Linked DNA regions of Anolis sagrei. The protein of the gene in region 2 purifies or fractionates together with the protein of the main gene of each other region. This does not show direct contact. Links are inferred from orthologs where the notes say so. Each region holds a gene or a part of one and is shown on either strand. Other genes may lie near its edges. The genes, in order: FBXW7, HSF1, BAG3 and NCL.

The links.
Region 1: the proteins of HSF1 (region 2) and FBXW7 purify together in Homo sapiens (affinity purification with western blotting; 4 studies listed by BioGRID, with this or other methods). This does not show direct contact. The link is inferred for Anolis sagrei from reciprocal best matches to the Homo sapiens genes HSF1 and FBXW7.
Region 3: the proteins of HSF1 (region 2) and BAG3 purify together in Homo sapiens (affinity purification with mass spectrometry; 3 studies listed by BioGRID and IntAct, with this or other methods). This does not show direct contact. The link is inferred for Anolis sagrei from reciprocal best matches to the Homo sapiens genes HSF1 and BAG3.
Region 4: the proteins of HSF1 (region 2) and NCL purify together in Homo sapiens (affinity purification with mass spectrometry; 3 studies listed by BioGRID, with this or other methods). This does not show direct contact. The link is inferred for Anolis sagrei from reciprocal best matches to the Homo sapiens genes HSF1 and NCL.

Annotation. Positions count from the first base shown.
Region 1 is NC_090025.1:50,919,880-50,927,346, forward strand, and holds the start of FBXW7 (F-box/WD repeat-containing protein 7), read right to left. Parts: upstream 3,007-7,467; 5' UTR 2,385-3,006; intron 1-2,384. UniProt on the Homo sapiens protein: Substrate recognition component of a SCF (SKP1-CUL1-F-box protein) E3 ubiquitin-protein ligase complex which mediates the ubiquitination and subsequent proteasomal degradation of target proteins.
Region 2 is NC_090024.1:2,717,704-2,725,527, reverse strand, and holds the start of HSF1 (heat shock factor protein 1), read right to left. Parts: upstream 3,012-7,824; 5' UTR 2,815-3,011; coding exon 2,695-2,814; intron 1-2,694. UniProt on the Homo sapiens protein: Functions as a stress-inducible and DNA-binding transcription factor that plays a central role in the transcriptional activation of the heat shock response (HSR), leading to the expression of a large class of molecular chaperones, heat shock proteins (HSPs), that protect cells from cellular insult damage.
Region 3 is NC_090023.1:202,041,429-202,048,955, forward strand, and holds the start of BAG3 (BAG family molecular chaperone regulator 3), read right to left. Parts: upstream 3,005-7,527; 5' UTR 2,703-3,004; coding exon 2,511-2,702; intron 1-2,510. UniProt on the Homo sapiens protein: Co-chaperone and adapter protein that connects different classes of molecular chaperones including heat shock proteins 70 (HSP70s), e.g. HSPA1A/HSP70 or HSPA8/HSC70, and small heat shock proteins (sHSPs), e.g. HSPB8.
Region 4 is NC_090023.1:267,120,579-267,127,925, reverse strand, and holds the start of NCL (nucleolin), read right to left. Parts: upstream 3,003-7,347; 5' UTR 2,862-3,002; coding exon 2,844-2,861; intron 1-2,843. UniProt on the Homo sapiens protein: Nucleolin is the major nucleolar protein of growing eukaryotic cells. It is found associated with intranucleolar chromatin and pre-ribosomal particles. It induces chromatin decondensation by binding to histone H1.

The DNA.
Region 1 (7,467 bases), on a different chromosome or scaffold from region 2:
AAACTACTTTCTGTTGCTGAGAAAAGGAAAGGGGGGGGAGAGAAAGAGACAGACTCTGGTAACAAATACTATGTCCGAGCTCATTTGATTGGCTCTCTGGACCAGTTCTCTTCTCATTAAACTACCCAACAAAGCCATTTAAAGAACCCTCAAGACACACCAATGGTTTCCGCCTGACCCCAAAGAGACAAGGGAAGGGAGGGGAAAGAGAGAGAGAGATTTCCCGGCTGAAAGGGAGGGTCACTTAGCGCAGCAGACCGTGCAGAGAACCCTGCAACGTGAGGCGCATATGAAACAAGAGGCAGAGGCCCCCATCTACACTGACCATTTAATGCAATCCGAAGCTAACTTCAAACTGCAAGGGATAGGCAAGAAACTTCCATGTAAGCACGTGAAAGAAAACCCTTCATGTGGTTGGTGGAATCACTATCCAGGCCCCAAACGGGTTCCCGGATTTTCTATGGAATAATCTGCACAGTGAAACCACTTTCTTCTACATTCATTTGAAATGGCATTAAAGGGTAAATGGGGACTTTAGTCTATTTTGCATGAAGGGGTTAGAAAACTGTATGTATCAAAGATTTGAAATTGCTGGATAAATTAAACTCCAAACAAACACACTAAGAGTTCTTGCAGAGTGCTCCTCTTATTCAGAACTTTACCTGCATGATTCTTCATACAAGAGGTCAGAGAAAACACCCATTTAACTTTAGAACACACATTTAAGTGAATAAAATGGAAGCTGAAACTGCAAGGACCTGGAGAACTTCCAGTCTTCCATCTGAAGTGCTTAAGGTTGCTTAGCAGGGCAGCCCCCTCCTCTCCCTACCCCACAAAAGAGGAGGAAGACAAAAATGGTGGGGGAGGGGAGAGAGGAAAAAAGAGAGGAAGAGAAGAAAGAGGAGAAGACAGAAGAGAAGAAAGCGAAAGAATGGGGTTTTAATCTATTGAATGTTTTTATTTTTTTGTTAGATGCTAATTAAGTTTGATGTGGGTTTTTTATAATTTTTGATTATGCTCATGTTGGTACTGATTATTTTTATGGTATGTTACGTCTTTGCTTTTTATTTGTTGTTCGCCGCTTTGAGTCCCAATTTGGGAGCAAAGCAGGATAGAAATAAATAATAATAAAGAAGAGGAAGAGAATGAAGAATAAGAGGAGAATAAAGAGAAAAAGGATGGGGAGGAAGGAAGTGAAGGGGGAGGAGGTAGAGGAAGAGAAAAAAGAAGAGGAAGAAATGGAGGTAGAGTAGAAGAAAGAGAAAAAGGACAAGAAGAAAGAGGAGGAGGAAGAAGTGGAAAAAAATGAGAAAGAAAATGAAGAGGGAGGAGGAAGAGAAGAAAGAAGAATGAAGAAGAGGAGAATAAAGAGAAAAAAGAGGGGAGGAAGGAAATGATGGGGAGGAGGTAGAGGAAGAGAAGAAAGATGGTGAAGAGGAAGAGAAGGAGGAAGAGAAAAAAGAAGAGAAAGAAAATGAAGGGGGGAGGTAGAATAGAAGAAAGAAAAAGGACAAGGAGAAAAAGAGGAGGAGGAAAAGAAAAAAGACGAGAAAGAAAATGAAGAGGGAGGAGGAAGAGAAGAAAGAAGAATGAAGAAGAGGAGAATAAAGAGAAAAAGGATGGGGAGGAAGGAAATGATGGGGGAGGGGGTAGAGGAAGAGAAGAAAGATGGTGAAGAAGAAGAGAAGGAGGAAGAGAAAAAGTAGAGGAAGAAAATGAAGGGGGAGGTAGAGTAGAAGAAAGAGAAAAGGGACGAAAAGAAAGAGGAGGAGGAAAAAAGATGAGAGAAAATGAAGGGGGGGGAGGAAGCGAAAGAAGAAAAATTAGAAACAAAATGAAGGGGGGATGCTAAGGAGAAGCAAGAGAAAAGGGATGAGGAGGAGGAAAACGAGGAAGAGAAGAAATAAGAGGAGGGGTGAAAAAAGAGGAGTGAGAAAATGAAGGAGGAGGGAGAAAGAAGGGAAAGGGAAAGAGGATAAGAAAGAAGGGAAAGGGGAAGAGGATAAGAAAAAAGAGAACGAGGAAGAAAATGAAGGGGGTAGAGGAAGAGAAGAGAAAAGGAACGAGAAGAAGAGGAGGAAGACAAAAAAGACGAGGAGAATGAAAATGATGGAAGGGGGTAGAGGAGAAAGAGAAGGAAGAAGGAAGAGGAAGAGAAGAAAGAGGAGGAAGAAAGAAAAAGAGGAAGAGAGAAAAACGACGACGAGGAAGAGAATGAAGGGGAGGAGGTAGAGGAAGAGAAGAAAGAAGGGGAGGAGGAAGAGGAGGAGGAAAAGGAAGAGGAGGAGGCGAGTGTCCACCCCACGTGCACCTCCTGGAAGGTCGAAAACAGCCACCGGGAACACTCCCCTTCCCTTCCACATCCCTTTCTCAGAATTACTCACTTCGGGAGCGAGAGCAGCAGCAGCAGCAGCAGGACCGGCGACGCCCGGCGGTCTTTCCTGCTGGGCCCGAGAAGGAGCTTCACGCCCAGACCTGCGGGGATCCGGAGGCTTGGAGGCGCCCAGGACGGGTCCCTCGGAGGCCCTCCTCCTCCTCCTGTTCGGCTTCCCTGGCTGGGCGTGTGGCCGCCGCCGCCTCCTGTTCCCACGCCGCCTGGGCCGCCCGCGCCCGCCCCCTCTGCCCCGAGAGCGCTGCCCGCCGCTTCCCCCCGCGGGAGGCGGAGGAGGAGGCGGCGGTGGCGGCGAGAGGGTCGGGCCGCGGCCCCCGCCCGGCTCTGGCTCTCATAAACCCTCTCCTCGGGCGCTGCTAGGGCCCCAGCCAGGCGGAGGCAGCGCGGAAGCGGAGCCCGGCGGCGGCGGCTAGGCTCAGCGGCGCTCCCGCCCGGCTCCCAGGCATGAGGGTGACTGGGTCTCGCCCGAAGAGAGGCAGCGAGGAAGGAAGGAAGCAAGGAAGCCGGCGGGTGGCTCCGGAGACGCTCGCTTTCTCTCCCTCGCGCACCACAGAGACACAGGCAGCGAGGGCGCTGAGGGAGGGGAAAAGACAAGGCACGGCGCGGGGAAATGACGCCAGCCGTAACCAGGCAACCGCAGCCCTCTCCGCCCGCCTCCTGTTTCCGTCGCGAGGCGGTGACGTCGAGGGTTTTGCGACGGCTGTGCAGCGTCTCTATGGAATGTATGGAGAAGAGATGAAAACGCCGCCGTGAAGCGATTGGAAGAGGCCAACGCGGCGAGCCAATCCCGTCGCAAGGACTTGCGCAGGCGCAGTCGGGGATTTGGACTCTGGAAATATTAACCCCTTCCGCGCCTGCGCGTTCCCCTCGGTAGGCGAACGCGGTTGATTCGATTATAGCGATTCCCAGAATAGTCCTCCAGGTCGGTGGACTTCAACTCCCAGAAGCCTCAGCTGCCTTGGTCGATGATCAGGGATTCTGGGGGATGAAGTTCAGAATTCCTGGAAGGCTAGAGTTTAGGAAATACACTTTCCTAGGATCCCCCCCCCCCCTTAATTCGATCAGACAATTAAGGCCTCTTCCACACAACAAGTTGAATAGGTTGGGTGAGAGTATACAGCCCTGATGAACGCCTTTCCCAATCTTGAACCAGTCTGTTGTTCCATGGTCAGTTCGTACTGTTGCTACTTGGTCATCAAACATTCCTCAGGAGACAGGGAGGGATAGTCATTCTTAAAAGTACATTTCCAAGCTCTCTAATAATGCTCTTTTCTCATGCTGTTCTTTTCAGTCACACCATATGTTCTTCAAAGGGCCCTTCCACACAGCCCTATATCCCAGAATATCAAGGCACAATATCTGCTTTGAGCTGGGTTATCTGAGTCCACACTCAGATAGTGTGGAATTTTATGCCTTAATATTCTGAGATATAGGGCTGTGTGGAAGGGCCCTTAGAAGAACATATGATGTGGCTGAAGAGAACAGCATGAGAAAAGAGCATTATTAGAGAACTTGGGAAGTTACTTTTAAAAATGACTGTCCCTCCCTGTCTCCTGAAGAATCTGTATAAGGACCAAGTAGCAACAGTACGAACTGACCATGGAACAACAGATTGGGAAAGGCGTACGGCAGGGTTGTATACTCTCACCCAACCTATTCAACTTGCATGCAGAACACATCATGCAATGTGCAGGGCTTGAAGAATGCAAGGCTGGGGTTAAAATTGCTGGAAGAAGCATTAACTACCTTAGATATGCAGATGACACCACTTTGATGGCTGAAAGCGTGGAGGAGTTGAGCCTTCTAACCAAGGTGAAATAAGAAAGTGCAAAAGCTTAGTTGCAGTTAAACATTAAAAAAAACAAGATTATGGCAACAAGACTGATTGATAACTGGCAAATAGAGGGAGAAAACGTGGAGGCAGTGAAAGACTTTGTATTTCTAGGGGCAAAGATTACTACAGACGCAGAGTGCTGCCAGGAGAACAGAAGACCTTTATTTCTTGGAAGGAGAGCAATGACCAATCTCAATAAAATAGTGAAGAGTAGAGACATCACACTGGCAACAAAGGTCTGCATAGTTAAAGCAATGATAGTAACCTACAGATGTGAGAGTTAGACCATAAGGAAGGCCGAGCAAAGGAAGATTGATGCTTTTGAACTGTGGTGTTAGAGGAAAGTTCTGAGAGTGCCTTGGACCGCAAGAAGATCCAACCAGTCCATAATTCAGGAAATAAAACCCCTCTGTTCACTGGAGAGAAGGATATTAGAGGCAAACATGAAGTATTTTGGCCACATCATGAGAAGACAGGAAAACTTAGAGAAGACAATGATGCTGGAGAAAATGGAAGGCAAAAGGAAGAGTAGCCAACCAAGGGTAAGATGGATGGCTGGTATCCTTGAAGTGACTGGCTTGACTCTGAAGGAGCTGGGGGTTGTGACAGCCGAGAGGGGGTTCTGCCATGGGCTGGTTCATAAGGTCACAAAGAGTCGGAAGCAATTGAACAAATAAACAACAACAATCCCTCACTGAGCAGTGGTGGGATGATGGCTACATAGAATTAATGCAGTTTGAGACCTTTTTTGTTTCCATAGGTCAATACTATGGGATCATGGGAGTTGTAGTTTTCAAAGTAATTTGGAAAGGATCCCCTCGGGGAGCTAGGGTGGGATATAATTAAAGTTATTTATTTATTACTTGTGCCTTTTTGCTAACAGAAAGCATTACACCCCCCCAGAGGTCAGACTTAGTTGATCTATTCCAGTTCCCTATTCCTCTCTTATTGAACTCCTCCTTTCTCTACAGACACTAGAGGCTTGGGGCATTGTCTGGTAATCCTAGGCCAAGCAATCAATAAAAAGACATTCTTAGCACCTGCATTTAGCAGTATTTTATACCATTAGTCCAAAGGACAACAGAAGCTTTTGGCCAGCCTAAGCTTCACAAGGAAGATTAAGACAGTTTATAACCATCACTTTGCACCAGAGGCAAGAGACTTTCAAAGATTCCAGAAAGATGACTGCAACCAGCAAAATCTCCTTTTGTAATGTATTATGTTACCTTAAACTTAATCACACTAGAGAAAAAATCCACTTAAAATCCTGTTTTTGCCTCCTGCAGAATTCTGAGGTTTGTAGTTTAGGTAAAGTCTCCTCCTTATTATAGTCCTGGGTGGAGTTAATCCTTTATTCATCTTGTTTCAGTAAACTCTTTTGATTATCTTTCCACCTTGCCTAAAGTTCCTCTGCTAAGGGTCTTAATCTTAAAAGAAGGTATCAGCTAACCCCCGAGTAAAGTCAGACAATCTAGTTTTCCCAAATGTTCGGACGTACGATCACAAGGGGAATACTCACTTGGCCAAAGATTAAGCAGGAGATAACCAAGAAAATGCTCCTTATCACTGTCTATGGTTCTTGGAAAGTGCTCTTTTCATCTTGGCAGGTCTGTCTCCCAATTTCAAATATGATCTATTCTAAAACATTACAGAGCCCAGCCAAAAAGGAAAATACCCATGTAATACTGCATGCACCTGTCAGTTAGTGTGAAAGAGATCCTAACAGCTGGGATTTCTGGGAGTTGTAGGCCAAAACACGTGGGGACCCACAGGTTGAGAAGTGCTGGCCTGCTGCTTGGCTCCACAGTAAAGTTTGCCCAATGGAGAGTCATCCTGTGGAGAGGAGAATGTGTTCTCCAAGCACTTATGGAAACTGATTTGTTCCTTCTGCAAAAATGATATACTGTTGTGTCACAGCTCAGCATTTCTGCATGTATTTTTAGACCCTTGGCCTGTTGGGACCAATAATCACACCAAAATGTAAAACTAAGCAAAAATTAGAGTTTATAAAATTTAGCTGAAGACATTACACCAGTAAGGAGAGAAGGATAAAGTAGGTAGAACATAAAGATGGCTGTGGACCTTTGAGGATAACTCTGACTAAAATTCCAAATTTTCAGTTCTTAGGTGAGCTGTTTTTGTTCTGTGGCTGTGAACCAGTTCTGTTTAAAGTGGTATGCAAAGTTATATTTTGGTTGTTTCTGGGTATATTTGACCTGTTGGTTACAAAAATAACACCAGTTTCCTCCCATCCACTCTAGTTTTTGAGATACATAATATATGCCATCTACCAGTCACCATCTGCTCATAGATGGAAAATCACTATAACCGTATCAAAGAAAATAGAGTTGATGTGATCTATCCAATGTAATTTGTTTAATCAGTGCCCAAAATAACCCCAGATGCATGTCTAAAAACTAAGACACCAAGAAAAGTTTTTATTGATCTGTTTATTTTTATAGAAGGGAATCTTGTAGAATCTTATACCTGAGAAGCACTGGGGCATTGCAGGACACCAAAATACCCGGGAGTTACTTTTAGACCATCCTCCAACTTACAAGAAGCACTGTCTAATTATCAAGCAAAAAGTGGTTGCTAGAAATAATATCACACGCAAGCTGACTGGCACAACCTAGTGATCACAACCAGACACATTGAAGACATCTGCCCTTGCACTTTGCTACTCTGCTGCTGAATATGCATGCCCAGTGCGGAATACATCTCACCATGTTAAAACAGTGGATGTGGCTCTCAATGAGACATGCAGCATTATCATAGGATGTCTACGCCCTACACCGCTAGAAAAATTACAATGTTTAGCTGGCATTGCATCACCTGACATCAATCTGGAACTAGCAGCCAGTAATGAAAGAACCAAGGCATTGACATCTCAGGCCCATCCTCTGTTCAGATATCAGCCAGCATATCAATGTCTTAAGTCAAGAAATAGTTGCAGAGCTACTCACAGGAACACCTCAGCAAGCGAGAGTCCAAAAGTGGCAGGTTAAAACCCGGAACCTCAATCAGTGGCTGATATCAGATAAGAAACTCCCTCCTGGGCACACAGAAGACTGGGCGACTTGGAAGGTGCTGGACAGACTGTGCTCTGGCACAATGAGATGCTGAGCCACTCTTAAGAAATGAGGCTATGAAGTGGAATCCCCGACATGTGAGTGTGGAGGAGAGCAAATCACAGACCACTTACTACAATGCAACCTGAGCCCGGCCACATGCACAGTGG
Region 2 (7,824 bases):
AAAGTAGAACAGAGTGGGATCATGACTTCCCTTGATCCAACTGGTATTTTCAGCTGTATAAATATGTGAAAGGATGTCAAAAGGAAGAGGGAGAAGCTTTGTTTTCTGCTGCCTTGGAAACTAAGATGCTGAGTCATGGGTTCAAATTACAGGAAAGGAAATTCCACCTGAACTTTATTAGAAAGAACTTCCTGACGGCAAGAAGAGCTGTTCAGTAGTGGAACTTTCTGCCTTGGAGTCATGTGGAAGTTTCTTCCTTTTAAGCAGAGGCTGGATGGCCATCTATCAGCAGTGCTTTGATGGTGCTTTTCCTGGATGGCAGAAGGGGGCTGGACTGGGTGGCTCCTATTATTATTATTATTATTATTATTATTATTATTATTATTTAAAAGGCTGGGTGGCCTTTCACTGTGGTGCTTTCAATGTGGGGGTGCTTTCACTGTGCTTTTCCCGCATGGCAGATTGGGTGGCTCCTATTATTATGGTTATTACAAAGGTTGGGTGGCCATCAGTTGGGGGTGCTTTGACTGTGCTTACCACACATAGCAGATGGGGGTTGAACTGGGTGGCTCCTATTATTATTATTATTATTAATAATAATAATATTTCAAAGGCTAGGTGGCCATCTGTTGGGGGTGCTTTGACTGTGCTTACCCTGCATGGCAGATGGGGGGTTGGACTGGGTGGCTTGAAATATATTATTATTTCAAAGGCCGGGTGGCCATGTGTTAGGGGTGCTTTGACTGTGCTTTCCCTGCATGGCAGGATGTTCCTATTATTATTATTATTATTATTATTATTATTATTATTATTTCAATGGTTCGGGGTGCTTTGACTGTGCTTTCCCTGCATAGGAGGAGGGGGTTGGACTGGGTGGCTCCTATTATTATGGTTCTGGCCCAAGCTACCTATCCGAACGTATCTCTGCCTATGAACCCACCAGGACTCTAAGATCTTCGGGGGAGGCCCTGCTCTCGATCCCGCCTGCTTCACAGGTGCGGCTGGTGGGGATGAGAGACAGGGCCTTTTCTGTGGTGGCCCCCCAGCTGTGGAACACCCTTCCTATGGAGGTAATATCAGCCCCCTCGCTGATGGTGTTCTGAAGAAGATTAAAAACTTGGATGTTTGAACGGGCATTCAGATAAACAGTGCAATGAATACGATGAATATAGGAACGGAATTATAGACGACGAGTTGGTTCACGATTCTAGTTACGAGACGTTATTGTGTTGTTATTGATGTGCCATTACTTGTATATTATGCTCTCGTGGTTTTAAATTGTTTACTGCTATTTTGATATGACCGCCTTTTTGCTCTGTTGTGAACTGCGTTCATAGAATCATAGAATCAAAGAGTTGGAAGAGACCTCCTGGGCCATCTAGTCCAACCCCATTCTGCCAAGAAGCAGGAATTTTGCATTCAAATCACCCCTGACAGATGGCCATCCAGCCCCTGTTTAAAAGCCTCCAAAGAAGGAGCCTCCACCACACTCCGGGGCAGAGAGTTCCACTGCTGAACGGCTCTCACAGTCAGGAAGTTCTTCCTCATGTTCAGATAGAATCTCCTCTCTTGTAGTTTGAAGCCATTGTTCCATTGCGTCCTAGTCTCCAAGGAAGCAGAAAACAAGCTTGCTCCCTCCTCCCTGTGGCTTCCTCTCACATATTTATACATGGCTATCATATCTCCTCTCAGCCTTCTCTTCTTCAGGTTAAACATGCCCAGCTCCTTAAGCCGCTCCTCATAGGGCTTGTTCTCCAGACCCTTGATCCTTTGAGTCGCCCTCCTCTGGACACATTCCAGCTTGTCAATATCTCTCTTGAATTGTGGTGCCCAGAATTGGACACAATATTCCAAGTGTGGTCTAACCAAAGCAGAATAAAGCATGGGGAGCATGACTTCCCTAGATCTAGACACTAGGCTCCTATTGATGCAGGCCAAAATCCTGCATCAATAGCCGTTCAGCAGTGGAATTCTCTGCCCCAGAGGGAGTGTGGTGGAGGCTCCTTCTTTGGAGGCTTTTAAACAGAGGCTGGATGGCCATCTGTCTGGGGTGCTTTGAATGCAATATTCCTGCTTCTTGGCAGAATGGGGTTGGACTGGATGATGGCCCAGGAGGTCTCTTCCAACTCTAGGATTCTAGGATTCTTTAATGGGTGGCTCCTTATTATTATTATTATTACAAAGGCTGGGTGGCCATCTGTTAGGAGTGCTTTGACTGTACTTTTCCCTCATGGCAGATTGGGTGGCTGCTATTATTATGGTGATTGCACAGGCAGGAGGGCCACCTGTCGGGAGGGCTTTGGTGGTGCTTCTCCTGCCTGGCAGGGGGTGGGACTGGATGGCCTTGGGGGTCCCTTCCTTCCCTCGGATGCCCGCCCTCCTCCTCCTCCTGGGTGGCTGCTATTATTATGGTGATTGCACAGGCAGGAGGGCCACCTGTCGGGAGGGCTTTGGTGGTGCTTCTCCTGCCTGGCAGGGGGTGGGACTGGATGGCCTTGGGGGTCCCTTCCTTCCCTCGGATGCCCGCCCTCCTCCTCCTCCTCCTGGGTGGCTGCTATTATTTTGGTGATTGCACAGGCTGGAGGGCCACCTGTCGGGAGGGCTTTGGTGGTGCTTCTCCTGCCTGGCAGGGGGTGGGACTGGATGGCCTTGGGGGGTCCCTTCCTTCCTTCCCTCGGATTCCCTCCTCCTCACCGGGCTCCAGCAGATGAGGGCGTCTGTCTCGGGGTCCTCGACGAGGGTCCAGAGCTTGGTGAGGAAGGCCGGCACATTACTGCCCGCCGCTCCGGCCGCGCCCACGCCCGAGGCCTCCATGCCCGGCCCTTCTCCTCGTCCTCCTCCTCCGGAGGCCCTCGCTCCGACTCCCAGCCGGCAAGGCAGGCTCGGCTAGCGGGCCCTCACCAGGCCGGACGCCCTTCTCTGCGCACTCAGCAGCGCCTCAGAAAATCCAGGCATGGCCGCCGCCATCTTGGGGGAATCCTGCGCACGCGCACTTCGCGCATACACGCCCCCCTCAGCAAGGACGGCCCCGCGCGTGCGCAGTGGCTCCCTCGAAGGAGTGCGCACGCGCAGTGCTGCCTGCAAAAAGACCTCAGCAACACAGTTCGCTCTCTCTCATATCCTTTATCTAGAATTTTGCGCATGCGCATCTTTTCTTTTCAAAAAATGGACTACATTTCCCAGAAGGGCGCACCAAAGGCAGCGTTCATAATGCCTGCTGGGAGTTGTAGTCTGAAAAAAACTCAGAAAGCCCCAAGCTATTTTTGTTTACATCGCTTAGAATGCTCTATTTTTGTTTACATTTATTAATTTATTTACTTACTTTACTTATATACCGCCCTTCTCAGCCCGAAGGCAACTCACAGCAATTCACAACAATTAGAACAGCAAAAACAGCAAAAATTCAAGGCCACGGTATAAAAACACATTCAACAACCCGAACATAGTACATAATTAATAAACAATTACTACAGTAACCATTCACTATTCGCTATCATCTCATCATCAGAAACATGATCCAGATTCGTCATCCATTATTCCGTTCCAATGTTCATTAACCAATCATTGCACTAATTATTCGAACGCCTGCACAAACAGCCAGGTCTTCACTTTTTTGCGGAATACCATTAGAGATGGTGCTAGTCTAATGTCCGTAGGAAGGGCGTTCCACAGCCGAGGAGCCACCACCAAGAAAGTCCCCGCCAGCCGTGCTTGAGAATCATAGAATCCTAGAATCCAAGAGTTGGAAGAGACCTCATGGGCCTTTATCCAGTCCAACCCCATTCTGCGAAGAAGCAGGAATATTGCATTCAAATCACCCCTGACAGATGGCCATCCAGCCTCTGCTTCAAAGCTTCCAAAGAAGAAGCCTCCACCAGACTCCGGGGCAGAGAGTTCCACTGCTGAACGGCTCTCCCAGTCAGGAAGTTCTTCCTCGTGTTCAGATGGAATCTCCTCTCTTGTAGTTTGAAGCCATGGGTCCATTGCGTCCTAGTCTCCAGGGCAGCAGAAAGGAAGCTTGCTCCTGATATCGAGCTCTTTTGGGGGGTACTCCCAGCGAGGCGAGTCCCTAAGGACCGCGAATGGGGTCCCGACCTTGGTGAGCTGCCAGCGGATGCCAATTCAAAAAGACGCAAAAACGTTGAAAATCAATCTCACCAGAGGCTGAAGAGGAGATCTGCGACCGAGGCGTTTATTTAGCGATTCAGCTGAAAAGGATGCATTAAAGGGATGAATCCACAATAAGCATGCAGTACAGTGAATTTCAGGCATATTTATACAGAAGAAACAAAGAAATCCTGGTTTGAATCTCCCGCCCGCCTCCTGTCAGTTCCCTCTGTCCTGATTGGCCGGCTCCAGAACAGCTGGGAGGAGGCTTGGCCGCTGGTCCCGCCTTCCCTCCAATCGCCGGCCGCTGTCGCCTCCAGGGGGCCAATCAGAGCCCTCGGAGCGCCTCCGGAGATTGTCCAATCAGCGGCCAGGAGGCGGGATGTATTTTGACAGCGTGGAGGGGCGGAATGCCTGGGAGGCGTCCGCCAGCTGATTGAACACCCTTTGTTGTTTCACGGCAGGGGAGGCAGACGGGGGAACAAGGGATTTCCTGGGTTCCGATAAGAAGATGTGTATAGGCAAAAAGGGTGGCTATGGGTGGTGTCTGGATCTCAACCTTGTGGGCAAAGGGGTCCTTTGTCACAAAGGAGCGTACACAAAACACCTTGATTGATTTAATCAGTCTGTTTTTTCCGGGTTTTTGGCTGGCAAATCTCTGGCTTTGTTCGTCTGACACTGAAAACAAAGCCACAGATGTGACCAGTATTTGTCCATGCAATGTCAATATGAATGGAGTTTTTTCCAAGGAAATTGGATTCCTTACTGTAACCCCAGGTCACGTATCTTTCAATAGGGCAAAGTTCAAGAGGGGAAAAGGCAAGGAAGGAGGGTGAGGGTACATCTCATTTCATTTCATTTCATCATATATCATATACTTCATACATATTTTCTTCATAGGCTTTCATAACTCATAGATTCCATAGGAAAGATCCCCATCCCATCCCAGTAAAGTTTATTAGAAAACCACAGCAATTGATAGAGATAATCAGCAGAGTTCCCGAGGTATGATCCTTTTCAACAAGGGCACGCACACACAGGCGGGGGGCTCTTTCTCCCCAAGCGGCTTGGCTTTGAGTTCATGGAGGAAGTCCGTGATGTTAGGGCACCAAGTCGATCAGAGAGGGCAGAAAGGTCCGCAAAAGAATCTGCAAATAGTGGAGAGTGGGGCAATGTCCTTTGGGGAACTGCATTTCCCTGATCAGGGGCCAGGGTCCAGTGCACAAGCCAGAGAATTCACAGAGAGGAAACAGGAACCCAGTTATGTCCCATCTGGGTCAGGAAGCAGCAGAATCCATTGTCCGGCCCTTGGTGAACTACAAATACTTGGGGGGGGGAAAGATGCTCTGCATCAAATCCTCCCTTCGAGGCTGGGAAATGGTCACACTCATTTCCTCAAGCCTCGACAATCCCCCCCCAAGCACTCAGGGCCTCTTTCTAGACTGATTAGATTGTATTCTGTTGATTATTTCGGGGCCCCACTCAAGCAACAACAGCAGGACCCAGCAGGGTGGGAGAGACCAGTGGCGGAGTGTTCTTTGGGTTGGAGAAAGAAAAAGAGACTGAAGTAAGAAGGTGAAGACGGTGGAGGCAGGGGATGATGGAGCCTGTGATGGCCGTCAGCATGGAGCACTCAGGGGTCCAGAGTGAGTTCCCAATGGAGAAGGATGGCACATGGTGGAATCCTCCCATCTGGCCGTGGTCCTCAGGCCTCCTGGGGGCGCTGGCTCCTCCCTTGGCACTTGGGGGAGGGAGAAGATGGGGCACAGCCTTGCTACTCCTTCTGGCGTGGCGTCTCCTGGTGACCGCAGACCGGTCCGGCTCTCCATCATCACAGAGACTCAGGGATAGTGTCTAGGACAGTCAGAAAGAAGGTTTACAGCCCCCCCCACCCCCCCCCCTTCCCAGCCCAAGGGTAGTTAGTGGGGAAACAAAAGGGAAAAAACTTTCATACCTAGTGGGGGCGTCAGTGGTCTCCTTTGGGCCACCCCTCTGCACAGCTTCTGGAACGGGCAGGGCCTCCTTCCTTCATGGCAGTTGCTGTGGGATCCTGGTTGCTCCTCCTGCGATGGCATTCCCCCGTGGGGGCTCAGATCAGCCTCTAGGAGGGGCTGTCTCTTCTGGGCGGCATGGGGTCTGGTCCTGTTCTCCTGGGATCTTCCTGTGCCATCTGGGTTCCACACAGGAAAGTCCACAGACCTCCCTTGCTCACCTCGCCCAGGTAGTTGTCCTCAGCGGCAGGAGTGGATTATGGGTCCCACAGTTTGATCAGTTGCTCTTTACTGCGCAGAGGGGACCCCTGGACCTCGACGCCCCCTTCATATTTAAGGCAGTTAATGGGATAATCTAGACATACACATACATGCGCTCAGGGAAAGGGGAGGGAGGAAGGGCCAGGAAGGAAAAGAGCATCAGAGGGACTGCGTGTGTGTGAGAGAGAGATTTAACCACAGATGTGGGTGAAATGTCAGGAGGGAATGCTTCTGGAACATCCCTTCCTTAGGTTTTTTGGAGAAGGAGGTAAGAGGGAGCAGCAGGATTCCTCTGGGAGATAGAGGAAAGAATTCACAGAATACTGGCTTCTTAGAGGATGGGAGGGGAGGGAAGAGAGAGAGAGAGAGAGAGAGAAAGGATGGGTTTCAGAGACATTTCACAAGCACATGGAACTCTTTGGTGAGGTCTGGCTCTTAGAGAGAAAAGGGGAAAAGCAGGGAGAGAGAGAGAGAGAGAGAGCCAGAAAACTTTGTTTGGCAAGAGGAAACAGGAACAGAAAAGGTCCCCTCTTACACCTCCCTTTGCGAGAGGAGAAAGGGAGGAGGGGTTTTGAGAGAAAAAAAGGGAAGTTGGGGAGTAAAGAGAGAACAAAGGATAAGGCAGGGACATTGGTGACTGCCCCTGAAAAATGGGTTTTGTAGTTGCACAGAAGAGAAGGGGAGAAAAAGAGAGCTCTTGGGTCAGGGAGACCAGGAGAGAGAGAGACTTTTGCAAGGCAGCTGAGTCACATCAGTGGCAGGGTCTCTCCTGGCGAGGAGAAACACTGTTTATTATAAATAAACAGGCACTGAAGATTCAGCTTGAGAAAGAAGGGATTTTGTAGTAGCTTGGGGGAGAAGGGAATGAGCAATGCCTCCTTTTCCCATCTGAAGGAAGGAAAAAAAGGTGGCACAGGAGAAAGCAGGAGAGGAGGAGAGCAAAGAATTTCCCTAGCGCATTTCCTCAAGGAACAGGGGGGAAAAAAATTTAGGAGGGGCATATGGATGCAGACATTTCATAATAGGGAATAGGGAAATGGAGGGGTTGGAAAGGGAAGGAAGGAGTCAGGGAGATTGGGTAAAGGGAAATGGGAATGGGATGGTAGGGGAACAAGCAATTTTCAAAGGGAGGGGGGAAAGGTCTGGAGGGGGTTTCCTGGGGGTTGGGGCTTTGTCACCTTCCCCTTGCATGGTAGGAGTTGGCCACAACTACCCCCCTTCCACCTCCTCCGGCACATGGCAAAAAAGCATGAGGCAGAGGCGAGTTCGGTCCCCTTGGCCCCCTCACAGCGATCCGACTGCCATGAGGGGCCACGAAACTCCACCTGCTGAGGGCCTGGTGGGCCACCTTTCCATGCGATTTTTTTACCCTACTGGCCTGCGTCAGCGACGCAACCCTGTCCCATTCCGCCAGTACTCTTCCTAAAGGTGTTTCCAATGAGACAGGACGTTTGACCCCAGAATG
Region 3 (7,527 bases), on a different chromosome or scaffold from region 2:
GAAGGGAGTGAACAAAGCTTTGCACACACAAAGATACTTTGGGCCATAGGCACACACTCCCCTCACGTACAAACTCACGAAGTCTGCCTCAAGGATCTTGGTCTACTCTCTGAAACCTGTGAGGAGAAATCAGGGTCATGTTTCTCCCAGGCACTCAACTTTGGGGGTCAAAAAATAAATGCCCTATACCCCAGGATCTGATCCCAGGTTTTCTGCTTTAAACCAGCTTATAGGAGTCCGCACTGACAGATAATGTGAGATAAACAGAAAACCTGGGATCAGATCCTGGGATATAGGGCCAGAAGGGCCCGAAGTGGGTTCCCTCAAAACACACACACATCACTGCCCCACGTTTAGTCCTCCCTCCTCAATCTCCTTCACCTTTACCTCCAAAGAAGGCAAGTAAATACACTGAATAGCCAGCCATAAAGGTAAAAAAGGCAAATCACTGAGAGGCTGGCCATGAAGGCAAAAAAGTAACTGAAAGACCTGCCATAAAGGTAAAAAAGGCAAATCACTGAGAGGCCAGCCATGAAGGCAAAGAAGTAACTGAAAGGCCTGCCATAAAGGTAAAAAAGGGCAAGTCACTGAAAAGTCAGGCATGAAGGCAAAGAAATGAAAAACCTGTCATAAAGGTAAAGATACTAAGGTAACTGAAAGGCCAGCTATGAAGGCAAAGAAGGCAAGTAAGCAAAAGGTCAGCCATGAAGTCAGAGAAGAGAAGTAAGTGAAAGGCCAGCCATGAAGGCCAAAAAAAAAAAGTAAAAAAAAGAAGTAAAAAGCCAGCCATTAAGGTAAGAAAAGGCGAGTCACTGAAAGGCCAGCCATAAAGGCAAAGAAGAGAAGTAACTGAAAGGCCAGCCTCGAAGGCAAAGTAAGGCAAGTAATTGAAAAATCTTTCATAAAGGTAAATAAATCAAGTAAGTGAAAGGCAAGTCATGAAGGCAAGGAAGTGAAAGGCCTGTCACAAAGGTAAAGAAATCAGGTAACTGAAGGTCCTTCCACACAGCCTTATATCCCAGGATATCAAGGCAGAAAATCCAACATTATCTGAGTTTGTAGATTCAGATAACGCAGTTCAAAGCAGATATTGTGGTATTTTCTGCCTTAATATTCTGGGATAATAGGGCTGTGTGGAAGGGCCCTGAAAGGCCAGTTATAAAGGCAAAGAAGAGAAGTGAAAGGCCTGTCATAAAGGTAAATAAATCAAGTAAGTGAAAGGCAAAGAAGAGAAGTAACTTAGGGCTCTTCCGCACAGCCCTATATCCCAGGATATCAAGGCAGAAAATTCAATATCTGCTTTGAACTGGGTTATCTGAGTCAACACCGCCATATATTCCAGTTCAAAGCAGGGAATGTGGGATTTTCTACTTTGATATTCTGGGATATAGGGCTGTGCGGAAGGGCCCTGAGAGGCCAGTTATAAAGGCAAATAAGAGAAGTGAAAGGCCTGTCATAAAGGTAAATAAATCAAGTAAGCAAAAGGCAAAGTAACTGAAAGGCCTGTTATAAAGGTAAAGAAGACAAGTGAGGAGGGCCCTTCCACACAGCCTGATATCCCAGAATATCAAGGAAGAAAATCCCACATTATCTGAGTGTGTAGATTCAGATAACGCAGTTCAAATATTCCAGTTCAAAGAAGGGAATGTGGGATTTTCTGCCTTGATATTCTGGAATATATGGCTGTGAGGAAGGGCCCTGAAAAGCCTGTTATAAAGGTAAAGAAGACAAGTGAGGAGGGCCCTTCCACACAGCCCTATATCCCAGGATATCAAGGCAGAAAATCCCACAAATATCTGCTTTGAAGTGGGTTATCCAAGTCCACACTGCCATATATTCCAATTTGAAGCAGATATTGTGGGATTTTCTGCCTTGATATTCTGGGATATAGGGGTGTGGAAGGGCCCTGAAAAGCCAGTTATAAAGGTAAAAAAGACAAGTAAGGACCTAATCACACTAGAGAATGAATCCACTTTAAATCTGGTTGCTTCCTCCTGAAGAATTATGGGATTGGTAGTTTGGGGGGACTCTTTAACAGCCTCACTAAACTACAAACCCCAGAATTCTGCAGGAGGCAGAAACTGGATTTAAAGTGGATTCATTCTCTAGTGTGATGAAGTAGTGAGCGAAAAACCTGTCAAGTAAGTGAAAGGCCAGCCATGAAAGGCAAAGAAGGCAAGTAATTACAATGTACTAAGCAAGGTTCTTTCCCAAATGTCACAACTAATTCCATTCAAGACATAGAAAGGTCAAAGCAAGTTGGGGAGGAGTTGTATGCCAGGGGGAGACTCTGGGGTCATGTTTGGGTTGAGAAGAAGTCGCTACAAAATGACATTTCCCAAAGGAAGTTTCTCTGAGCCTGTTTCCCCGCCTCCCTTTCCCTCTGGTGGAGTTTCCCCACTCAAGGCGAGTCTGGGGCGAAACCCCTTGCCCTTGGAGTCCTCATCGGAGCCTCTTCGCGTCTTTAATAAGGACGGGAAGCCGGCCTGGGGGGAGGTTTGTGTGTGTACCTTGCGGTGGTCGCCCTGCTGCGGCAGCCTGGGGTCGCTCCAGGTGGTGGTGCGGCTGTTGTGGTCCACGAAGAAGGGCCAGCCGGTCTGCGGGTCGATTTTCACCTCCCAACCGGGCGGTAGCGGCTCCCGCTCGCCCGCCCCACCGGCCTCGGTCGGCCGCAACGCCGGGGACTGCGCCGCCGCGCTCATCCTACTGCTGCTGGTGGTGCTGCTGCTGCTACTGTTGCGAGAGCGGCTGTCCCTGCTCCTAGCTCTGCCTCTTCTGCTGCCTCTTCTGCTGCTGCTGCGACTGCGGCGCCTCCTCCTCCTTCGCCAGCCATGCACTGGGCAAGCAAGCGAGGCCGCCCCACCCGCCAAGCCCCTTTATGGCTCGGAGGGAGAGAGAGGGAGGGGACGGCGAAGGGGGTGGAAGGGTCTGGAAATAGCAGAGGAGGAGAAGAGGAGGAGGAGGAGACAGGGGAGGAGGAGCAGCAGCTGCCCGGCTGGAAACTTCTGGGCGCCTCGCCTCACAGCTCCTCCTTGAGTCACGCTCCCGCCACTAGGATTATTGTCACGGCGGCTATTACTCGCCACCCGCCGCTCTCCGCTCCATTATGACGGAGCGCGCCTCCCGGGACCGCCCCCCGCCTCGCCGCTCAAGGAGAAGCCAAGCCTCCCTCTTCCCTCTTGAGCGCCCATGAAGGGGGACGGCGACCCAAAGTCAGGCCGGAGCTGATTTGGTCATTTATCGTGCCAGGAGCGAACCAAACAGTTGAATTGCATTTTAAAAACACACACACACACAAAACCCCCACAAAGTTCGCACACTTGGCATTCTATTATTTGTTATTATTTGAGACACAACAAGATGAGTCCACAGCAGACCATAATAAATAATAGAATGCCAAGTTTGCAAACTTTGTGGGGGGTTTTGTGTTTTTAAAATGCAATACAACTATTTGGTTCGCTCCTTATTTATTATTGTTGTTCATTCGTTCTGTCGTTTCCAACTCTTCGTGACCTCATGGACCAGTCCACGCCAGAGCTCCCTGTCAGCTGTCACTACCCCCAGCTCCTTCAGAGTCAAGCCAGTCACTTCAAGGATGCCATCCATCCATCTTGCCCTTGGTCGGCCCCTCTTCCTTTTTCCTTCCACGGTGGTCCACGCTTTGGTTACATCCCGTTTAGATTACTGCAATGCTCTCTACGTGGGGTTGCCTGTGAAGACTGCCTGGAAGCTCCAACTAGTCCATAGTGCGGCAGCGAGAATGCTAACACGAGCAGGGTACAGGGAGCATACTACTCCTGTTGCGCCAGCTCCACTGGCTGCCAATTAGCTTCCGAGCACAATTCAAAGTGCTGGTGTTAACCTATAAAGCCCTAAACGACTCCGGCCCTGTTTACCTGTCCGAACGTATTCTCCCCTATGAACCATCTAGGTTGTTAAGATCGTCTGGAGGGGCCCTGTTCTCGGTCCCACCAGCCTCTCAGGCGCGTCTGGTCGGGACGAGGGACGAGGGACTTCTCGGTGGTGGCCCCTCGACTCTGGAACTCTCTCCCACTGGAGTTCAGAACTGCCCCCTCCATTCTGTCATCCAGAAAACGGGTGAAAACCTGGCTATGGGGTTTGGCTTTCGATGAGTGAATCAATATTTCTGTGATTGGATAGATGATGATGAATGATGGACAACAAATTCACTATGACGACTGACCATTGTTATTATGTGATTGCATTTTGCTGTTATAACGTTTTAATTGAATATGTTATATGATGTTTTTAATTATTGTTTTGTGATTTTATTGTTGGAAATCGGCCCAAGTCCCCTGATAGAGGGGAGAAGACCGGTATACAAAATTGCTAAATAAATAAATAAATAAATTTTCCCCAGCATCATTATCTTCTCTAAGCTTTCCTTTCTTCTCATGATGTGGCCAAAGTACTTCATCTTGGCCTCTACTATTCTTCCCTCCAATGAGCAGTCTGGCTTTATTTCCTGAAGTATGGACTGGTTGGATCTTCTCACGGTCCAAGGCACTCTCAGAACTTTCCCCCAACAGCACAGTTCAAAAGCATCTATCTTCCTTCACGCTTTCCTAAGGTCCAGCTCTCACATCCATAGGTGACTATGGGGAATACCATTGCTTTAACTATGCAGACCTTCATTGCCAGTGTGATGTCTCTACTCTTCACAATTTTATCGAGATTGGACATTGCTCTCCTCCCAAGAAGTAAGCATCTCCTGATTTCCTGGCTGCAGTCTGCGTCTGCAGTAATCTTTGCACCTAGAAATACAAATTATTTATTATTATTATTAATTATTAACTTTATTTGTACCCCGCTAGCATCTCCCGAAGGACTCGATGCGGCTTACACAGGCCGAAGCCTCAAAACACAATACAATAAAGGACGTAACATCACAATAACAAAGCAAATCAAACAGTAAGCAAAATATCATAACTCCACAATAACTAAGCAAATCAACAGTAAGCAAATAAGCAAATAACGACAATGGCAGAACGTCAGGACATTATTAAAACAGGTTCGGCCGGCGCAATGGGGTACAAGGGTTAAAAGTGCTGAAATGGTAGGAGGCACGTAAGGTTGAAAGTGCAGTGTGCAGCGACAATTTATTATGCTAAGGTGCTACTAGGACTTAGGTGGGGATTTCTAGTCTGGGAAGGCACAACGGAACAGCCAAGTTTTTAAATTCCTTCTGAAAACGGCTAGAGTGGGGGCCTGTCTGAGATCTTTTGGGAGGGCGTTCCAAAGTCTGGGGGCCGCCACAGAAAAGGCCCTGTCCCGCGTCCCCACCAAGCGCGCTTGCGACGTGGGTGGGATCACGAGCAGGGCCTCTCCGGATGACCGTAACGAGCGTGTGGGTTCGTAGATGGTGATGCGGTCACGCAGGTAGGGTGGTCCCGAACCGTTTAGGGCTTTGTAGGTAAGCACCTGCACCTTGAATTGGGCTCGGAAAATAAAAGGCAGCCAGTGGAGCTCCTTAAACAGAGGGGTAGACCTCTCTTGATAATGAGCCCCGGTTAGCATCCTGGCTGCTGCCCGCTGGACCAATTGAAGTTTCCGAGCCGTCTTCAAGGGCAGCCCCACGTAGAGCGCATTGCAGTAATCCATTCTAGAGGTGACCAAGGCGTGGACCACCCCGGCCAGATCAGCCTTCACGAGGTATGGTCGCAGTTGGCGCACAAGTCTCAGTTGCGCAAAGGCCCTCCCGGATACCGCCGACACCTGAGCCTCAAGTGTAAGCGAGGAATCCAAGAGGACACCCAAACTGCGGACCTGTGGCTTCAGGGGGAGTGTAACCCCGTCCAACACAGGTAACCACCCTATACCCCGATCCGGTTTACGATCGACCAGGAGGACCTCTGTCTTGTCGGGATTGATCTTCAGCTTGTTCTTCCTCATCCAGATCGACACAGCGGCCAGGCACTCACCTAGCACCTGAGAAGCCTCCTTGGAATTAGGTGGAAAAGAGTAGTAGAGTTGCGTGTCATCTGCGTAGAGATGGCACCCAACTCCAAAACCCCGGATGACCTCTCCCAGCGGTTTCATGTAGATGTTAAAAAGCATGGGAGACAAAATAGAGCCTTGCGGGACCCCACAGGTCAAAGGCCAGGGGTCAGAGCAGGCATCTCCCAGCTTCACCATCTGAGTTCGTCCCTCCAGGAAGGACTGGAGCCACGACAGAACCGTGCCCCCAAGGCCCATCCCGGAGAGACGACCCAGAAGGATACCATGATCGATGGTATCGAAAGCCGCTGAGATGTCCAAGAGAACCAGCAGAGTCACACTCCCCCTGTCCAGCTCTCTGTGGAGGTCATCCACCAAGGCGACCAAGGCTGTCTCGGTGCCATGACCAGGCCTGAAACCAGACTGTGACTGATCTAGGTAGTTGGTATCGTCTAGGAAACCCTGGAGCTGAGAGGCGACCACCCTCTCCAGCACCTTACCCAAAAAGGGGAGGTTGGAGATCGGCCTGTAGTTATTCAGCACCGAGGAGTCAAGGGAAGCTTTTTTGATAAGTGGGCGAACCACGGCCTGCTTCAGGTTAGATGGAAAAATTCCTTGCTCCAACGATGCATTGATAATCGGTACAAACCAGTCAAGCAACCCCCCTCTGGCTGATTTAATGAGCCAGGATGGGCATGGGTCCAGGGATGAGGTGGTCGCTCTCACAGCCCCAAGGATCTCCTCCACGGTTTCAGGAAGAACAAGCCTAAAAGAATCCCATAAAGTTAGACAAGCAGGTGCCTCCGTCACCTCTTCTGGCACTGCGATGGAATTGGAGTCGAGCTCGAGGCGTATCTGGGCGACTTTATCTGCAAAATGGTGTGCGAAATCGCGACACCGAGCTGTGGGGTCGTCGGGGACCTCCTCCACCGCTGGTGGGTGGAGGAGTTCACCCACGACCCGAAACAGCTCCGATGATCTATTTGCTGCAGATGCTATATGAGCGGTCGTGAATGACTTCCTGGCCGCCCGTATGGCCACGGAGTATGCCTTAAGAGAGGCTCTAGCCCGTGCTCGGTCAGACACGTCTCGAGATTTCCTCCATTTGCGCTCTAGCCCCCTTCTCGTATGCTTCATCACAGCCAACTCCTCGGTGAACCAAGGAGATGGCCTGTCACAATGCAACGAGATGGGGCGTTCGGGTGCGATCGTATCTAACGCCCTGGCCATCTCCCCGTTGTAGAGAGTTACTAAGGCGTCGATAGAATCGCCAGGCTCCAAGGCAGGAAGAACCCTAAGATTCCTCAGGAATCCATCCGGATCCATCAGTCTCCTAGGGCGGACCATCTTAATTTGTCCTCCACCCCTGCGGAGGTTTAGGGTCGCAGTAAGTCTAAATGTGATCAGATGATGGTCAGACCATGACACTGGAAGGATGTTTTGATCTTCCACTCTGATCAATTCGTCGTCCGCCACAAAGACGAGGTCGAGAGTGTGCCCAGCTTGATGCGTGGGGCCAGATATTATCTGTGACAGTCCTATGGCCGTCATGGTGGCCATAAAGTCCTG
Region 4 (7,347 bases), on a different chromosome or scaffold from region 2:
GGAATATAAAGGCCAATTAATACAGGCCAAAGGTTGTAAAGGTTGAAATTGCCATGCAATGCAAAGTTTATAATTTTCTGCATGGCAAAAGGGGGTTAGACTGGATGGTCTTTGGGGATCCCTTCTAAGGAATATAAAGATATTCCTATTTAGATACAGTTAAAATGTTTAAAATAAATAAATAAATGGCAATTAATACAGGCCAACACAGTACAATATAATACTAAAAATTTCCTACATGGCAGAAGGGGGTTGGAGTGGATGGCCTTTGGGGGTCACTTCCAAGGAATATAAAGAGCAATTAATACAGGCCAACACAATACGATACTACAATTCCCTGTATGGCAGAAGGGGGTTGGATTAGATGGCCTTTGGGGGTCCCTTACAAGGATTAGAAAGTACTATCAATACAGTCCAACAAAGTATGATACAATGCAATAAAATAATATGAAAAGGTTGTGATTCCCTGTATGGCAGAAGGGGATTGGAGTGGATGGCCTTTAGGGGTCCTTCCAAGGAATATAAAGGGCAATCAATACAGGCCAACATGGTACAATACAATGGTTCAAATTCCCTGCATGGCAGAAAGGGGTTGGTCTGGATGATCTTTGGGGGTCCCTTCCAAGGTTTAGAAAGTGCAATGCAATACATAAATTTCGCACATGGCAGAAGGGGATTAGACTGGATGTCCTTGGGGGGGAGGGGGTCCCTTCCAAGGATTAGAAACCATTATCAAGGCAGGCCAACACAGTACAATACAATGCAAAGGTTCCAATTTCCTGCAAGGCAGAAGGGGGTTGGACTGGATGGCCTTTAGGGATCCCTTCCAAGGAATATAAAGGGTAATCAACACAGTACAATATGATATAATAATACTACAATTCCCTGTATGGCAGAAAAGGGTTGGACTGGATGGCCTTTGGGGGTCCCTTACAAGGATTAGAAAGTACTATCAATATGAAATGGCTATAATTCCCTGCATGGCAGAAGGGGGTTGGACTGGATGGCCTTTAGGGTCCCTTCCAAGAATTAGAAAATACAATACAATACCATGAAAAGGCTGTAATTCCCTGCATGGCTGAAAGGGTTGGACTGGATGGCCTTTAGGGTCCCTTCCAAGGAATATAAAGGGTAATCAACACAGTACAATATAATAAAACACTAAAATTCCCTGTATGGCAGAAGGGGTTGGACTGGATGGCCTTTGGGGGCCCCTTCCATGAAATATAAAGAGCAATTAATATAGGCCAACACAGTACAATACAATATAATACTACAATTCCCTGCATGGCAGAAGGGGGTTGGATTGAATGGCCTTTGGGGGGTCTCTTCCAAGGAATATAAAGAGCAATTAAATCAGACCAACAAAGTACAATACAATATAATACTACAATTCCCTGCATGGCAGAAGGGGATTCGACTGGATGGCCTTTGGGGGTCCCTTCCAAGGATTAGAAAGTACTATCAATACAATAATATTAAAAGGCTATAATTCCCTGCATGGCAGAAGGGGGTTGGACTGAATAGCCTTGGGGGTCCTTTACAAGGATTAGAAAGTATTATCAATATAACATGAAAAGGTTGTAATTCCCAGCATGGCAGAAGGGGGTTGGACTGGTGGCCTTTAGGGATCCCTTCCAAGGAATATAAAGAGCAATTAATACAGGCCAACACAGTACAATACAATACAATTCCCTGTATAGCAGAAGGGGGTTGGACTGTACGACCTTTAGGGGTCCCTCACAAGGATTAGAAAGTACTATCAATACAGTCCAACAAAGTACAATACAACACAACAATATGAAAAGGTTGTGATTCCCTGCATGGCAGGAGGGGTTGGACTGGATGGCTTTTGGGGGGCCCCTTCCAAAGAATATAAAGAGCAATTAATACAGGCCAACACAGTACACTACAATATCAATACAATATGAAAAGGCTATAATTCCCTGCATGGCAGGAGAGGGTTGGATTGGATGGCCTTTGGGGGTCCCTTCCAAGGAATATAAAGGCCAACACAGTACAATATAATGCAAAGGTTTGTTTACATTCCCTGCATGGCAGAATTACAGGTTGGACTGGAGGGTCTTTTTAAGGGGTCTCTTTTTCTTTTGAGCAAAACCCAAAAAGGGGGTTGGACTGGATGGCCTTTAGGGGTCCCTTCCAAGGAATATAAAGGCCAACACAGTACAATATAATGCAAAGGTTTGTGTACATTCCCTGCATGGCAGAATTACAGGTTGGACTGGAGGGTCTTTTTAAGGGTCCCTTTTTCTTTTGAGCAGAACGCGAAAACCACGTGGAAGCCCCGGAAGCGAGGCCTAGGCTGAGCATTTCCTCTCCTTCCTTCCTTCCATCACCCACGTGGTTTGAGATCACGTGGCTTCGGGAGAGCAGGCGGGAGAGGGAGAGTGCGCGCGCACACCGCTCCTTGCTCGCTCCTCTTTCCTCCCAGCCCCTCCCCTCTCCGTTGGCTGCGCGCGCCGCTCAACACAGAGAAAAGGGGGAAAAAAAGAAAGAGCGCGGGCGCCTAGAAACTCCTGCGCGTATGCGCGCGCGCTCGCTCTTTTCCTTTTAGAAGAAAAAAAAGGGGGGAGTCCTAGAAACCGCCGAGCGTTCTATTTCGATCTGCGCCTGCGCGCCAAAATAAATAAATAAGTAGTAGGAAAAGGGAGAAGGGGAGTCTTGAAACTGCTGCCTCCTCGCTTGTGTAGAAGCGAAGGAACGGGAGGCCTTGAAACTGCTGCGCACGCGCACAAGGCCTACTAAAAAAAAACCCTTTCCCCCCTTCATTCGTTGGGTTTCCTTCCATTCTAAATGAGTGAGGCTAGGCCTCAAAGCCTCACCTTGGCGAGTTTCACCATGATGGCGGCGCTGGGAGATGCCCGGATGTGGAGCGAGGCCTACAAGGAGAGAGAGAAAGAAGGGACCGCCGCGCTCTCCAGTCTCCGCCAAAAGCGAAAAGAGCGAGGTCGAGGGCTCGCCGCGCTCTCCCTCACGCCCCACGCTGCCGCCTCAGCCAATGGGAGACCGCGCAGCCCCAAGCTCCGCCCACTCCGGGCTTTCCCCCACACCAATCCCGCGTCGACTCGCTCCGCCCAATCAGACACCGCCCCTGAACTCGAGGGCGGGACGACACGTCGCCGAGCCAATAAGATGACAAAACTGGGAATTCTACGCTTCCTGATAGGTCCGTTTCGCAGAGACGGAAGTGGTAAGGAGAACACGTGGCGGCGCCCTCTGCCTGCAACCGCGTGGGGTCGGCCCATTTTGTGGCTCTGGATCCGGTTTGTTCTTGTGTGTCTGTAAGCCAGGCATGGGCAAGCTTGGGCCCTCCAGGTGTTTTGAACTCCAACTCCCACAATTTCTAACAGGCACAATTCCTAACAGCCCTCCAGGTGTTTTGGACCCCAACTCCCACCATTCCTAACAGCACTCTAGATGTTTTGGACCCCACCATTCCTAACAGTACTCTAGGTGTTTTGGACTCCAACTCCCACAATTCCTAACAGCCCTCCAGGTGTTTTGGACCCCACCATTCCTAACAGTACTCTAGGTGTTTTGGACCCCACCATTCCTAACAGCACTCTAGGTGTTTTGGACTCCAACTCCCACAATTCCTAACAGCCCTCCAGGTGTTTTGGACTCCAGTTCCCACCATTCCTAACAGCCCTCCAGGTGTTTTGGACTCTTAAACCCCACTATTCCTAACAGTCACAATTCCTAACAGCCCTCTAGGTGTTTTGGACTCCCACCTCCCTCCATTCCGAACAATCCTCCAGGTGTTTTGGACTCCAACTCCCACAATTTGTAACAGCCACAATTCCTAACGGCCCTCAAGGTGTTTTGGACTCCAACTCCTACCATTCCTAACAGCCCTCCAGGTGTTTTGGACTCCAACCCCCACAGTTCCTAACAGCCACAATTCCTAACAGTTCTCCAGGTGTTTTGGACTCCAGCTCCCACCATTCCTAACTCCCACAATTCCTAACAGCCCTCCAGGTGTTTTGGACTCCAACTCCCACAATTCCTAACAGCCCTCCAGGTGTTTTGGACTCTTAAAGCCCACTATTCCTAACAGCCACAATTCCTAACAGCCCTCCAGGTGTTTTGGACTCTTAAAGCCCACTATTCCTAACAGCCACAATTCCTAACAGCCCTCCAGGTATTTTGGACTCCAACTCCACATTTCCTAACAGCCCTCCAGGTGTTTTGGACTCTTAAAGCCCACTATTCCTAACAGCCACAATTCCTAACAGCCCTCCAGGTATTTTGGACTCCAACTCCCACATTTCCTAACAGCCCTCCAGGTGTTTTGGACTCTTAAAGCCCACTATTCCTAACAGCCACAATTCCTAACACCCCTCCAGGTGTTTTGGACTCCAACTCCCACCATTCCTAACAGCCACAATTCATAACAACCCCCCAGGTGTTTTGGACTCCAGCTCCCACAATTTGTAACAGCCACAATTCTAACAGCCCTCCAGGTTGTTACCTCACTACCTCTGAGGATGCTTGCCAAAGTGCAGGCGAAACCTCAGGAGAGAATACCTCTAGATCAGGGGTCCTCATACTTTTTAAAAAGTGGGCCAGATCACAATACCTCAAATTGTTGGAGGGCCTAACATGAATGAATATTATGCACGCAGCACATATTTTATTTGTAGTGCAAAAAACTACAATAATTAAAATGAAGAACAATTTTAACAAATATAAACTTATTAATATTTCAATGGGAAGTGTGGGCCTGCTTTTGGCTGATGAAATAGGATTGTTGTTGTTGTTGTGTGCTTTCAAGTAGTTTCAGACTTAGGTTGACCCTGAGCGAGGGCCGAGTAAATGACCTTGGAGGGCCACATCCGGCCCCCGGGCCTTAGTTTGAAGACCTCTGCTCTAGACCATGGCCATACAGCCCAAAAAAAACTACAACCCAGCCCTCCAGGTGTTTTGGACTCCAACGCCCACTATTCCTAACAGCCACCATTCCTAACAGCCCTCCAGGTGTTTTGGACTCCAGCTCCCACCATTCCTAACAGCCAGTAGGCTGTTAGGAATGGTGAGAGTTGGAGTCCAAAACACCTGGAGGGCTGTTAGGAATGGTGGGAGTTGAAATCCACAACACCTGGAGGGCCCAAGTTTGCCCATGCCTGTTCTAAGCCCTTCCACACAGAATATCATGGCAGACCATCCACAATATCTGCTTTGAACAGATATTGTGGATATAATCTGGTTCAAAGCAGATAATGTGGGATTTTATTCAGCTGTGTGGAAAGGTCCTCTGAATGTCAATATCAGTTTTAGCCTATAAAGCCTAATTTACAAAATTTAGCCTATAAATATCCATATCAATTTTAGCCTATAGAGCCCTAAATGGTTCTGGCCCAACTTACATGTCCGAATGCATCTACCATTATGAATCATCTAGGACCTTAAGATCGTCTGGGGAGGCCCTGCTCTCGTTACCGCCTTCGTCACAAGTACCTTTGGCGGAGACAAGAGACAGGGCCTTTTCGGTGGTGGCTCTTTGGCTGATGAACACTCTCCCTATAGATATTAGATCGGCCACTTCCATTTTAACATTCTGGAGAAAAGTCAACAAGCGTTTGCAATTACAGAGTAACTGACATAGGACAATGGAACGACTGGAACGACAAGCTGGAATGTGTCCAGAGGAGGGTGACTAAAATGATCAAGGGTCTGGAGAACAAGCCCTATGAGGAGCGGCCTAAAGAGCTGGGCATTTTTAGCCTGCAGAAAAGAAGGCTGAGAGGAGACATGATAGCCATGAGAGGAAGTCCTAGGGAGGAGGTAGCAAGCTTGTTTTCTGCTGCCCTGGAGACTAGGATGCAATGGAACAATGGCTTCAAACTACAAGAGAGGAGATTCCATCTGAACATGAGGAAGAACTTCCTGACTGTGAGAGCTGTTCAGCAGTGGAACTCTCTGCTCTGGAGTGTGGTGGAGGCTCCTTCTTTGGAAGCTTTTAAACAGAGGCTGGATGGCCATCTGTCAGGGGTGATTTGAATGCAATATTCCTGCTTCTTGGCAGAATGGGGTTGGAGTGGATGGCCCATGAGGTCTCTTCCAACTCTTTGATTCTATGAAAGGAGATTCCATCTGAACATGAGGAAGAACTTCCTGACGGCGAGAGCTGTTCAGCAGTGGAACTCTCTGCCCAGAGTGTGGTGGAGGCTTCTTCTTTGGAAGCTTATAAACAGAGGTTGGATGGCCATCTGTCAGGAGTGCTTTGAATGCAATATTCCTGCTTCTTGGCAGAATGGGGTTGGACTGGATGGCCCAAGAGGTCTCTTCCAACTCTAGGATTCTATGACTAGACAATGAGTCCGGACAACATTTTTAACAAGGAGACACTATGAATTTATATTTTATTGATTTGTTTAGTTTTTGTTATATGTTATGTTTTTAAATTGTATTTAAGACATTGTAAGCATTGAATTTTGCCCTGTTAACTGCCTTGAGTCGCCTATGGCCTGAGAAAGGTGTATACAAACAACAAATAAACAAATCCACAATATCTGCTTTGATCTGGGTTATCTGGCAGTGTAGACTCACACAGCCATACGACCCAGAATATCAAGTCAGATAATGAATGAATGCAACTTAATTTCTATCCTGCCCTGTTTATCTCCGCAGCGGGGACTCAGGGCGGCTTAAAACATAGGCCCCTTTCATGCATCTGAATAGAACCCCACATTTTCTGTTTTGAACGGGATTATATGGCAGTATGGATTCAGCCCAATTCAAAGCAGATATTGTGGGGTTTTCTGTTTTGATATTCTGGGTTATATGGCTGTGTGGAAGGGCCCAGAGTCCACATTGCCTGATAATCCAGTTCAATGTGGATTTTACACAATTGCAGGTGTTGATTTCCAAATTTGGCTTCTTTCTGTGCTTCGGAATGGATTTTCATATCTGTTGGAAGACTGATACTTGAACATCAAATCCAGATTATCTGCTTTGGAATGGTGTATCGGTCATATAATCCAGCTTGAAGCACATAATGTGGGTGATCTGCTTATATGGCAGTGTAGATCCAGCCCAATGTTCCTACTACATTGTCCTTATATCCTAGGATCTGATCCCAGGTTGTCTGCTTTGAACTGGATTATATGCGGTCCCTTCCACAGAGCTGTATAAATCCACATTGAACTGGATTATGTTGCAATGTGGACTCAGATAACCCAGTTCAAAGCAGGTATTGTGGATTATCTACCTTGATATTCTGGGTTATATGGCTGTGTGGAAGGGCCCAAAGTATCCACTGCCATATAATCTGGGATATTTATTTTTATTTCAAATATGTGTACCCTGCCCTTCTCAACCCCAGGG